2 linked regions of the Caenorhabditis elegans genome follow. The protein of the gene in region 2 interacts with the protein of the main gene of each other region in a pairwise test. Each region holds a gene or a part of one and is shown on either strand. Other genes may lie near its edges.

Region 1 (6,477 bases), on a different chromosome or scaffold from region 2:
TTTCAAACATCAAAAACCCCGAAAAAATTTTCTTGAGGAAATACAGTATTTAAGAACAATAAATATGTAATACAGGTGAACAATAGAAATACTGAAAATGTCGAAATTTTTCAAATCTCAAAAAATACACGAATCTTTTAATGCCCAGTTTGTCCGGTTCATTTTGATTGGAAATATTTGAAAAAATTAATTTCAAAAAAAAAACACACAAAACAATCGAATGTTGGAGCTCAATAATATAATAAGATTTTGTCAGTTTATTGTCAAAACACCTAATTTTGGAATGTTGTGAAAATGCTGTGAGGATCCGGTTGCAGGCAGGCGTCAGGCCTTGGAACCGCGCCTGGCGCCTTACAAGTTTTAACAGTAACAATTTTCTAATAATCTTCTAGTAGGTCATATAACCAATTGGATCACAATCTGGGTTCGCAACAAACTATGAAAAATAGATACAGTGCTGGCCAAAAAGATATCCACTTTTGGTTTTTTGTGTGTAACTTTTTTCTAAGTGGTTATTTTGTTTTGAAACTTCACCACAGTGTTCACAAAATCTAAAAACACAATATTCATCAAAAATGTTCAACAGATTTTGAAAAAACTTCAGAAGAATTCAAAAAAATCGAAAAACTAGAAATATTGAAAAAACCGAGGTTGCAAGGAAATGACAATTAAAGTACCGGAATATGAGCAATTGGATTTAAAAACAACATAATCATGCTTAATACTTTGTCGCGTATCCGTTTGCATCAATAACAGCTTGACAACGACGTGGCATCGAGTCGATCAGCTTGTGAATAACTGACATGGGGATAGCTTTCCAAGCGTTTTCCAACTGGTTGAATTTGGCATCTGCATTTGAAGCCCGAATACCTCCAAGACGTCTTTCCAACTCTTCCCACAAATGCTCTATTGGATTCAAGTCCGGAGACTGACTTGGCCAATCGAGCAAATGCACACGACGACGTTGAAACCAGGAACGCACATGAAGAGAAGTATGCTTAGGATCGTTATCCTGCTGAAACACGAAGCCACGGCCCACATTTTGAAGTGCCCAGGGTCGCATTGTAGTTTCCAAGATGTTTTCGTATTGAAAACGATCCATAATGCTTTGGATTCTCCTTAGTGGGCCCATGGAAGTGCTGGTGAAGCACCCCCACACCATGACGCTCCCACCTCCATGCTTAACGGTTGGGCATTGATACTTTGGAGAGTACCTAGAGCCAACAGGACGACGTACCCAGGAATTTCCATCACTCCCGAACAAATTGAACTTGCTTTCGTCAGACCAGATGTGTTTAGCCCATTCCTGACGTCCCCAACGAAGATGCGCTTTTGCCCACGCAACTCGAGCCATGCGATTTTTCTTACTGATGAACGGTTTCTTGACTGGCTTTCGTCCGTGTAGTCCTGCTTGCTGTAAACGTCGACGAACAGTTCGTTTACTTGGTACAGGTTCATTTGGAGAACTTATAATCATTTGAATATCCGTGGCGGTCCTATGCGGATCTTCTCTTGCTGATCGGAGGATGTTGCGATCCATCCTATGGGTTGTCACTCGAGGCCTGCCGGGCGAGATTCTCAAAGCGACGGATTTCTAAACATTTATTATTAAAAAATAATATTTTTCGAACTCACCTCAGTTTGGTACTTCTTGATTACTTTCCAAATAGTCGACGGAGAACGTTGAATTTGCAGCGCGAGCATTTTCGTGGGTATTCCTTGTTCGAAGCCAGCTACAATGGCTTTCTTGACGTCCAAGGAAAGATTTTTACACCCAACAGATTTTACCATACCTTAAAAATAATTTATCAACCAAACAAATCCAGTGCAACAAACAGAGTGCGTTTTATTGATAATTCAAAAAAAATAATGAAAATTGGAAAAACGAAAAAATCAAAAAATTGAAATAAAATTCAGAAAAAATCGATAATCATGTAATGTTTGGTCCGCAAATTTGCGTAACATTTCGCTTTATGCACACGGAAAAATTCAAGTCAAATGGATGCTTGAGAAAAAAGTTACACACAAAAAACCAAAAGTGGATATCTTTTTGGCCAGCACTGTACTTTGACCTGAAATTCTCTGTCTTCTTCGTTTCTTTAGATACATGTTTCAAAGTTTGCGAGTAAGATAACAAATAAAGATCGAAAATTCATTATTATTTACAAAGTCAGAAGATTATTTAAAATATCGAATTTACTTTCCCCATCCACCGTATCCACCGTATCCTCCATATCCACCGTATGGGCTTCCCCACATGCGCCGTCTGTATCCCATTCCGTATCCTCCCATTCCGTAGCCTCCCATTCCACCGTATCCACCATATGGCACTGAAAAGTTACAATATATTGATATGTTAAACAGAAATGATCGAAAATTTAGGATTTAAACTTTTAAAGTAACTCACTTCCACCGTATCCCCACTGGGCGCTGGCAGCCATGAAGCAGGCGAGAAGGACGACAAGGATAAGAAGTGAAGAAGTGGAAATCATAATGATATTTCTTTGAAAAACTTGTAAATAAGTTTTCTGTATTCTACCTGGTTACCTGGCATCTTTTATACTGTTCATTTTGGGTTCCTTTTTCGTCAAACAACTAACTGATAAGATCATCTTTTTTTTTTCTACCACATCTCCACCTCCTGCACGCGGCGAACTGACTTGGTGAATCACTTTGAATTGGTCACTTGGTCAAATTGGTAATGGCCTATCGGGCAAAATACGCAATTTTTCTCAAGTGTTTTGATGTTTGTCAAGATGATCCATGGAAAATGACAAATCAGAAATGTTTTTTTGTTGCCAAATACATTTGTATAAAAAGTTACTGTGAAAAAGTAGCGTCGTAGTTTTTTTTGAGGAAAGTTCTATGAAAATATAGAGAAACAATTATAAATTTTGATAATAAATTTACTTTACATTAAGAGTTTCGAGAAGTTTTTCAAAAACGGTCTCAAAGTCAGTCAAAATGGGAGCAATGAAGCTAGAGTAAATTTTTGAGCAACTCCTCAAATTATTAAATAGAAAATAAATTTATTTGCAGAAAATTTGATTATTTCTCTTTAATTTTAACTATAAGAAAAACCAGGTTTTTGAGAATTTATATAGAAATACAGAAAAAATATCTGATCTTCTGAAATAATTTTTTTTCATTATAAATCAACTTTTAATTTTAGCACAACATCCAACTTTAACTCAACTTTTTGAGAAATTGCCTGTTAGAAGTTACAAAATTTTCTCAATTCTTTCATATAAGTTTTCAAAATATACTTTGCAAACCATGTCAATAATGTTGTAAAACACCACTTTGCAAAAATGTTGAGTTGATAAGATTTTGTTTCGAAGTTACAGAAATCACAAATCGTCCACTTGCTGTTTTTAAGAAGTATATCCAAAATACCAAATATAATTGTTTAAACGGATTACAAGGTATTGGTAGTAACTCAAACAATACGATCATGCACTGGTCAAGTACTGAAACTTAAAAAAAAATTTCCGTGCACACTGAAGTTCTAGTCTTGCAGGCTTTACATTCTACTAATTTTGAACGAGTTGTTTGAGTTTCACTCACTCAATAGTTACAATGTGGATAATACTTTTTGAATTTCAAAAATTTTATATGGGAATAAGTATACAAACCATCAGAATACTGCTGGAATCGACGAGATTTAGAATGAATATAGTTAGTAGGCTAATTTGTCTACTTTCCCCATCCTCCGTACATTCCACGGCCATATCCACCATACATTCCGCGTCCATAGCCTCCATACATTCCACGTCCGTATCCACCATATCCACCATAACCTCCTGAAAATGAAAAATATGTGTGAATGATTTAATTTTATATTGAGGTAAGTTTTTTTTTAATCAAAAAAGCACAAAAACTTACTTCCATATCCTCCATATCCCCACTGAGCACTGGTAGCCATGAAGCAAGCGAGAAGGAAGACGAGAATCAGAATTGAAGAAGTTGAAATCATTTTTGTATTTTAAAAGTCACGAAAATGATTTTCTGATGTTTACCACGTTTTTCGCCTCTTTTATAGGTGCCGTCGTCTATCTTCAATTAGTTTTTTTCGTTGATCAAGATCACAAGACTCGGTATTTTTACTTGAACATCACTGTTATACGTCAAATAAAGTTTGATTCTAGATCAGTTATAGATCAGTTCAAATTGGACAGTGGTAACGTTAGCCGTTATAAAATATTGGAACGTGGTATTTGTGTTTGATACGAAATATGATTTTTGTTACATAATATGAAAGATTTTAAGCATTTTGTACTTTTATAATAGTGGATTTTAACTTTTTAGGCAGCTTCAAAATTAAACCAACATCTCAGTCAATTTTCAAACATATTTGAGAGTGGAGTAGCGTTTGTGGGGTTTTTGCCCAAAATGACTCAATATACCGAACAGGGGTGAGCGGCAAATTTCAAAGTTTACCGTGTTGTGCCAACTCAAGAAAATCTCTTTTTCCAATATTTTCAAAACACGGCAAATTCGGCAAATTTGCCGTGTTGCTCGGACTCGGAAAATGTGATAGCTTTTGGTATTTTTTGGAGCACCAAAATTACTGAATTCGTAGCACACTTTGGATTTTTAATAAAGTCCGTGTGGTCTGCCTGCATAAATTAAAAATAGCTCAATTTTATGGTACCTTTCCAGAATTTTTGGAAAAAAAGTCAATAATTTCGGTCAAACTTTCCTTGTCTAATTTTTGGTGTGCGCGGCAAATTTTCTGACATTTTATGCAAAAAAAAAACAATTTACAAATAATTGATTTTAGGCCAACTTTAAAAATAGATTCAGCAAATTTCATCCGGGTGACCAAGTTTTCTTTGTAGCAAATTGCATGAAAATTTATCAAAAATCAAGAAAACCAATATTTATACAGTGCGTCCAACTTCTATAGCACCCCCCTCTAATTTGGCGGTTTGGAGCTTTTCAAAATATTTTCAGGAAAAGTGTTAGTGCAGTTCGATAGCAAATGTTGAAAAACCTATGCTCCCCAATTTTTATCATGATATCTCAAAAATCACGGAAATTAGGTCAAAATATCGGAAAAATGGCCGTCCAACTTCTATAGCACCCCCTCTGATTTTTGACAATTTTCGGTAAAATCGGGGGTTTCTTTGTAATTCATGAATTTATTTTGTGAATAACTTCACACCAAAATGATCAGACGGTTTCAGTTTTACATTTAAAAAATAAATATAACACTTGAAAACACGTGGAATGCCTGGGATTGTCCTGGAACGTTCTTATTTGCTTCAGAGGCCATATCTCGGCTCCCAATCGGTTTCGCAACACCAAACTTTATCAAAATGTTCTTCTCTGTCTAGTTATTTCTATGTTATTAGTTGGCGAGAACATTCATTCATATTAACCAAATGGAAAAAGGAGTAACTGCAGTGATTTTTAGAAGGCTTGATTTAACTCTGGAAACGAGCGTTTGGAGGCGCAGAGATAATGATTGAGAATACATTTTCGACAAAAAATTACTAAATTATAACAAAAATTGAAAATAATCTTATATGAACATCAAATCCGTGGAAATCCATGGATAAATCAAATGCCAGACTAATTGTCGCATGTTAGCTTGAGAAAACTACTTGCGGCCTCGCTTTGCCTTTGTCCTCTTTTTTGAGCGGTCTCGTGAACTCGTCCAAATAAAATTTCAAGGACTTCTAATCAAAATCAAAGCTTCGAAGATATTTAAATCATATGAGCTGAAATTCTGTACCATACAAAGTCAAAACCTTCAGCTCTGCGCCTCCAAACGCTCGTTTCCAGAGTTAAATCAAGCCTTCTAAAAATCACTGCAGTTACTCCTTTTTCCATTTGGTTAATATGAATGAATGTTCTCTACAACTAATAACATAGAAATAACTAGACGGAGAAGAACATTTTGATAAAGTTTGGTGTTGCGAAACCGATTGGGAGCCGAGATATGGCCTCTGAAGCAAATAAGAACGTTCCAGGACAATCCCAGGCATTCCACGTGTTTTCAAGTGTTATATTTATTTTTTAAATGTAAAAATGAAACCGTCTGATAATTTTGGTGTGAAGTTATTCACAAAATAAATTCATGAATTACAAAGAAACCCCCGATTTTACCGAAAATTGTCAAAAATCAGAGGGGGTATAGAAAGTTGGACGGCCATTTTGCTATAGATGCTATAGAAGTTGGACGGCCATTTTTCCGATATTTTGACCTAATTTCCGTGATTTTTGAGATATCATGATAAAAATTGGGGAGCATAGGTTTTTCAACATTTGCTATCGAACTGCACTAACACTTTTCCTGAAAATATTTTGAAAAGCTCCAAACCGCCAAATTAGAGGGGGGTGCTATAGAAGTTGGACGCACTGTAGGTGGCAAGCGCAAAAATGTTAAAAATAATTGCGCGGAAATTCAAAAATAAATCAGCATTTTTGATTTTTTTTTATTCCAAAACTGAAAAAAAAGTTTTTTTCGCT
Region 2 (7,453 bases):
TATTTTATCAATTATTTTAAAAAACGTTAAGTTCAATTTACCCAACAAATGACAAATTTTCTGACGTTTCCGCAAAGTATTGCTGGTCAGGCAAAGAGAAGGGTGCAAGACTATTAGAGACTGCAATACAAATAGAGGCTGCAAGACTAATTTTCGATTGACCTCTAGGGGTACAAGACTAATAGAGGCTGCAAGACTAATAGAGAAAATACGGTATATTGATTATTGAACGTCTCTGAAATTGATAAAACGCCAATATCAGAACCATTAAAGACATTTGTGGAAACAGATATAAAACCCTGTAGACAGATCGCATGTGTGTGATTTTGACAAAAGTGAGACGATGTCAAATTGGGGGGGTCATCGAGCTCAGATCGAGTATGCGGCGATGGACAGCATAATACTGTATGACGTTGAAGTTGAATATGAAAGAATGTAAGTTTAGACCGATTATTTTATATTAAATGTGATAAAATGTAAAATTTTCAGCATGAATGCAAGAAGACGACGTTTCTAGATCTCCAACTCTACATCCAACTTCTGCATATTGACATCCTTCGATTTTATTCTTAATTTTATCCTTTTTTTTTAAATTTTTGATTTATTCTCTTTTTTTATCAACAAATATGTTCCAAAAAAAAATTTGAAATAAAAGCATTTTTTAACATTGCAAATGGATTAAAATTAGAATTTGAATTATCGTCGATGAAATGAAATTCCTCATTGTCAGTTTTTTGTCAAATTCTTATGTAGATCTTGCAAAATCAAGAAAAACAGATTATATTAATAAATATTTCAAACACCAAACCGGGAACAAAATCGTGTTCACTATTCTGAACGTCATGGGTTCGTTTCCCAGTAGTGTGATTTTTTCAAAAATGTTTTATGCCAGACACATATACAATATGAGCCTAGTAAGTGACTTCAAAGGGGTCCACCAGGGATGGCCAAAAATTGTGTCTCTTTGCCCATTTGTTACAATACCGAAACTATTAATTTGATCTATGTAGATATCTATTTTCAATAATTTCTCAGAACTTTTATTCCAAAAAAAAATCTATATCCTGAGACAATTTTCTAACATTACTGATTTGACAATGATTGTTCACTGCCGTCAAATGAAAGATCATAGATTTGTAGATTATAGACCATAGACACAACGAAAAGATTCAAGAATTTTAGCCCGAAACTTATTTGGACCCCTAACAGAAATTCAAGCAATAACTGTAGTCTTTTCACAAGCCGAAAGATTGTTGAGTTCTTAATAATTGAAATTGAATCATTCTAACAATAATTCAATTGAGCACTCAATAAAAAAACTACCGTAGTTTTTCCATGTAATTTTTAATTTTTTTAATAATAAATCATTCACTTTTTAATGCTGCACCGTACATTCTTACACACGATAATCATTTTTTTTCTCAATATTTATCATATGCAAATGGAGTTCAGGGATGAAATTGCAAGATGGTATAGCAGTGCCCCCATTTTCTTTTCATTTTTCCCATGAGTCAGCGTAAACGATCACTGAAAAAGTTCCAATTTTCCTCATTTTTGTGTTTTTGTTTCTCTGCAGAAAATCTGGCATTCATTTTGTTTCTCTCGTTTACAACTGTGTTTTGATTATTCCATTTTTGGTCCGCTCACTCTCATTTATCTTTTTTTTATCGTCCGGTAACGTGACAGTTTTTCTTATCTGCTGAAATTACACTAGTTTTCGAGTGATTCACCTTTTACTTTAGTATTTTTCTGTTTTTATTTCTTAGAAACTGCCTATGCTCATAATTTTCTGCCGTCATAAATTGTCGATTTCTGCACGCCGAGCCCGCAATTTTTTCTAAATTTTAAGCGTAATTTTCCCAGCCAATTGAATCCTTCTCATCACTTTGCTTTCTAAAAAACAACCCAAATGCGCCAAGATTTTATTATCCTTTTTGTCTGGCTAGGTACTTTACTTTTAGAGCTTAGAAATATCTATAGAAAGCCCATTTTGTGAAAATTAATATTTCCATGGGCCGCCTGACATTATGTCCTTTTTGATGATACCGTTTAATTCGATTTGTGATCTTTTGCTCATGCTGCCCAGAGATGGTATTTTTTAAGAAAATTTGAAATAATTGATTTTTTTTCTCTCAAATTTTCAAACATTGTACTGTACGTATTTTTTTTGTTCTCAAACCATTTTTCTTCCAGGTTACAGTCAGTATGCTCTCATCACAAGAAGAGTTCTTCGTCCAATTCAGCATCAGCTGCTGGATGCCTTCCTTCAACCTGATGGTGGCTGCTGAGAAGGGACGAGTGTTGCAGCGGGATCCGATGTTCAAGACCGTCCCAAGATTGCTCTTCAAGGAGCTCCGCCAGCTTCCGGCTAATGACGACATTTCCGATGGTGAATTGAAGAAGAAAGTCGCGGATGCCATCGACCTCTACCTGCCAGAGACCGTCGAGCTTTTGTGAGTTTGAGTTGCTATTGGATTTAGTGAAAAAGTATTAGCTGGCAAAGTATTGATTTTCTTTAACAGTTATGGGCCCAAAGTAAAACTGCCAAGTCCTTCATTTATTCCAATTATTAACTAGCTATGTCAGGCGAATCACATTCCACGAGGACGTGATGAGAATCATCAAGAACCAAGCGGCAATGGCAAGAAGGGAGAAGGAGCTCAATACTCCCAAGCTCGTCAAGCCTCAGGACATGCTCAAACGTGTCAAGCCTGCCGAGAAGAAGGAGAAGATCAAGCGTGGGAAGTCAGCTATCAAGAAGCAAAGCCCTGTAGTTGAGATGCGTGTTTTCAAGGAGAGGAAACGTGCTCAGCCATGTGCTTCGGACAATGAGAGTTTGTCGATTGCTCAGCGCGTCAAGCGCATTTGTTTGGACGACTAGGATGTGACAGGTGGGAAAAATCGATATATTTGTTTTGTAATTAAAACTTGAATATTGCAGAGCTTCATGTACTTCTTCCATCGACACTTTCCCTCGACACGCCTGCACATTTAATTGAATCAACTCATTCAAAGTACTGTTTATCCTAATTTCACCCCCTCACCCTGGCTTTTATTGATTTTCTCGATACACTTGCTGAATAGTGTTCCTATCGAAATACGTCCTTATCCCAACAGTTTTCCCTTCACCAACCCGATTTTCTGGTACCACTTTGCCTTAATTATTTTTTCTCTCCACATATTTTTTTTGCCATTCCCCAAGCATTTCCTGTTGAATATTACCGGTTCTTCTCCAACTCCCCAAGTGCTCATATATTTACGCATTTTCCAGTCAATCATTACCGATGATTTTTTATTGTATTTAGTTAGATGAAGAAATTTGAATAGCTCATGAAAGAAAAGACAATTTCACTGATTTTCATAGTCGACGGCATTCGCAATTTTCATCTTCAATGCACTATCGGGAAGATTGTCATGAGTCGTGACCCGGTCGGCGGCGAAATTCCTCGAACAGTATACGAAGCACGTGCTTGTTATTGTTAAAATATGAAAAAGGATATATGGCTTACTTTTTTTTCGGTAAAACTTTCCATTCAAGTTGAAGTGGGAGCTTGAGATGATTTTCACTTCTATTTTAATAGAAGGCGCATTTGAAGGCGCGAGACAGGCAGGCGTTTTGTCGCCTACAAGGAAGCCCTACCACAGACTTTCAGAGCATAGTATGACTACGCAAATATACTGAAAACTCATCAGAAACGTTGAATCTACAGGTGGTGTCTCCTTTTTTTTTTTTGACTTCGTCGCACTTCTTCAGAGTTCATGCATAGTTCAGATCTTTCTGTAAAAGTGCGTGAGAAAGCTCTGGCAAAATGCTGAGACAGCGTTTCTGCGCAGACGCACTATGCGCCACTCCTGATGAGCTTTTTCCTTTCAATACTTAATTGCTAATTGGCCGCCAGGTTACTATGGGCCTGTGGTGTAGTGGTTAACACACTGGTCTTGTGAGTCGGACTTTAAATCCCGGCTTCAAGTTCAAAGCCAGAGACGTCGGTTCGAATCCTTCCGGGTTTCTTCTAGGGTTCCTTCGGGTGTTTTTTGTTTTTTAGATTATTATCCTAAAAGCAAGAATTTATGAACATTTGGTGTTTTGGTAAAGTTCTGCTCTGCACAGAAGACCGGGGTTCGATCCCGCCAGAGGTCAATATTTTTTTGGTTTTTACTCGGTGCCATTGCTCATAGTCTTGATGATTTTTACAAAGTTTTCGATGAGCTTGCAGCATCAAATATACTAAAGATCATCATGTATCCATCGCTCATGATGCTATCGCACCTCCAAATCCTGATATTGCTGAAAAATTATTCTATGTTCCAAAAAAAAAGACCAACATTCTACAAGTTCGAGCCAATGCCAGGTTTGTCTAGTGCATTTTAATTTAATTGGAACTTCATGGATCGATTTCATTCCATTTTAAACAGCCCCGAAAAAATTTTTATTAATATAATCTGATTTTCCTGATTCAAGTGTGACAGTACAGACAAAAAGGAGAATTGCAAGATCTACCAAGAATTTGATTTTTTTCCATGAGCTATTCAAATTTCTTCATCTAAATGCATATGTACAATAAAAAAATCATCGGTAATGATTGACTGGAAAATGGGTAAATATATGAGCACTTGGGGAGTTGGAGGAGAACCGGTAATATTCAACAAGAAATGTTTGGGGAATGGCAAAAAAAAATGTGGAGAGAAAAAAAAATTAAGGCAAAGTGGTACCAGAAAAAAAAGGGGGTAAAATCAGGATAAACAGTACTTTGAATGAGTTGATTCAATTGAATGTGCAGGCGTGCCGAGGGAAGGTGTCGATGGAAGAAGTGTGTAGAGCTCTGCAATATTCAAGTTTTAATTACAAAACAAATATATCGATTTTTCCCACCTGTCACACCCTAATTGTCCAAACGAATGCGCTTGACGCGCTCAGCAATCGACAAACTCTCATTGTCCGAAGCACATGGTTGAGCACGTTTCCTCTCCTTGAAAACACGCATCTCAACTACAGGGCTTTGCTTCTTGATAGCTGACTTCCCACGCTTGATCTTCTCCTTCTTCTCGGCAGGCTTGACACGTTTGAGCATGTCCTGAGGCTTGACGAGCTTGGGAGTATTGAGCTCCTTCTCCCTTCTTGCCATTGCCGCTTGGTTCTGGATGATTCTCGTCACGTCCTCGTGGAATGTGATTCGCCTGAAATAGCAAGTTAATAATTGGAATAAATGAAGAACTTGGCAGTTTTACTTTGGGCCCATAACTGTTAAAGAAAATCAATACTTTGCCAGCTAATACTTTTTCACTAAATCCAATAGCAACTCAAACTCACAAAAGCTCGACGGTCTCTGGCAGGTAGAGGTCGATGGCATCCGCGATTTTCTTCTTCAATTCACCATCGGAAATGTCGTCATTAGCCGGAAGCTGGCGGAGCTCCTTGAAGAGCAATCTTGGGACGGTCTTGAACATCGGATCCCGCTGCAACACTCGTCCCTTCTCAGCAGCCACCATCAGGTTGAAGGAAGGCATCCAGCAGCTGATGCTGAATTGGACGAAGAACTCTTCTTGTGATGAGAGCATACTGACTGTAACCTGGAAGAAAAATGGTTTGAGAACAAAAAAAATACGTACAGTACAATGTTTGAAAATTTGAGAGAAAAAAAATCAATTATTTCAAATTTTCTTAAAAAATACCATCTCTGGGCAGCATGAGCAAAAGATCACAAATCGAATTAAACGGTATCATCAAAAAGGACATAATGTCAGGCGGCCCATGGAAATATTAATTTTCACAAAATGGGCTTTCTATAGATATTTCTAAGCTCTAAAAGTAAAGTACCTAGCCAGACAAAAAGGATAATAAAATCTTGGCGCATTTGGGTTGTTTTTTAGAAAGCAAAGTGATGAGAAGGATTCAATTGGCTGGGAAAATTACGCTTAAAATTTAGAAAAAATTGCGGGCTCGGCGTGCAGAAATCGACAATTTATGACGGCAGAAAATTATGAGCATAGGCAGTTTCTAAGAAATAAAAACAGAAAAATACTAAAGTAAAAGGTGAATCACTCGAAAACTAGTGTAATTTCAGCAGATAAGAAAAACTGTCACGTTACCGGACGATAAAAAAAAGATAAATGAGAGTGAGCGGACCAAAAATGAAATAATCAAAACACAGTTGTAAACGAGAGACGCAGGTGGTTAGATGAACGCTTGCGGCAGCGCACAGAACTGCGAGGCGACAACAATTGCGCGGCGGTAGATCAAAATTAAATAGGAAAAAATTTTGCACTTTTTTATTCAAAAAATACTGTGTTTGAATTCTGACGAATGAAGTTCAGGAATAAATTAAATGACAGGTGCCAGTACTATGAAGAAGGTTGATTTTTTTCAAATGTACAGCTGGTATCAGTGTAACCGCTAGTACCAATGCCATATTTGCCAATTTTTGTTTCAGAAAAAAAAATATGGCCAGATGTGATGTGAGGGTAAAATTGTTTCGCTTTGAAGATGAAATTACCAGTTTGCAATATTTTTTTTTAATACTTAAAAGTAGGAGAAACGAAAATATTTATTCAATTTTATTGAGAAAGCATATTAAAAAGCGAAAAACTGATGCAATGCACTCCAAATTTTAAATTGAATTTTACAGATTCATTTGTAATTTCAAAATTACAAAAATCAAATACTAGATCACAAAGCTAAAACAAAATGAATGCCAGATTTTCTGCAGAGAAACAAAAACACAAAAATGAGGAAAATTGGAACTTTTTCAGTGATCGTTTACGCTGACTCATGGGAAAAATGAAAAGAAAATGGGGGCACTGCTATACCATCTTGCAATTTCATCCCTGAACTCCATTTGCATATGATAAATATTGAGAAAAAAAATGATTATCGTGTGTAAGAATGTACGGTGCAGCATTAAAAAGTGAATGATTTATTATTAAAAAAATTAAAAATTACATGGAAAAACTACGGTAGTTTTTTTATTGAGTGCTCAATTGAATTATTGTTAGAATGATTCAATTTCAATTATTAAGAACTCAACAATCTTTCGGCTTGTGAAAAGACTACAGTTATTGCTTGAATTTCTGTTAGGGGTCCAAATAAGTTTCGGGCTAAAATTCTTGAATCTTTTCGTTGTGTCTATGGTCTATAATCTACAAATCTATGATCTTTCATTTGACGGCAGTGAACAATCATTGTCAAATCAGTAATGTTAGAAAATTGTCTCAGGATATAGATTTTTTTTTGGAATAAAAGTTCTGAGAAATTATTGAAAATAGATATCTACATAGATCAAATTAATAGTTTCGGTATTGTAACAAATGGGCAAAGAGACACAATTTTTGGCCATCCCTGGTGGACCCCTTTGAAGTCACTTACTAGGCTCATATTGTATATGTGTCTGGCATAAAACATTTTTGAAAAAATCACACTACTGGGAAACGAACCCATGACGTTCAGAATAGTGAA

What was found.
Region 1: the proteins of Y75D11A.3 (region 2) and nlp-27 interact in a two-hybrid assay, tested with the Caenorhabditis elegans proteins (one large-scale study listed by BioGRID).

What each region holds. Positions count from the first base shown.
Region 1 is NC_003283.11:3,985,433-3,991,909, reverse strand, and holds nlp-27 (Neuropeptide-Like Protein), read right to left. Parts: upstream 2,533-6,477; 5' UTR 2,493-2,532; coding exon 2,408-2,492; intron 2,331-2,407; coding exon 2,197-2,330; 3' UTR 2,140-2,196; downstream 1-2,139. Other genes in the region: nlp-28 (QWGYGGY-amide), read right to left, coding at 3,697-3,803, 3,886-3,976.
Region 2 is NC_003284.9:1,740,643-1,748,095, forward strand, and holds Y75D11A.3 (DEK_C domain-containing protein), read right to left. Parts: upstream 5,576-7,453; 5' UTR 5,560-5,575; coding exon 5,312-5,559; intron 5,179-5,311; coding exon 4,884-5,178; 3' UTR 4,874-4,883; intron 4,824-4,873; 3' UTR 4,454-4,823; downstream 1-4,453. Other genes in the region: Y75D11A.2 (DEK_C domain-containing protein), read left to right, coding at 2,206-2,453, 2,587-2,881.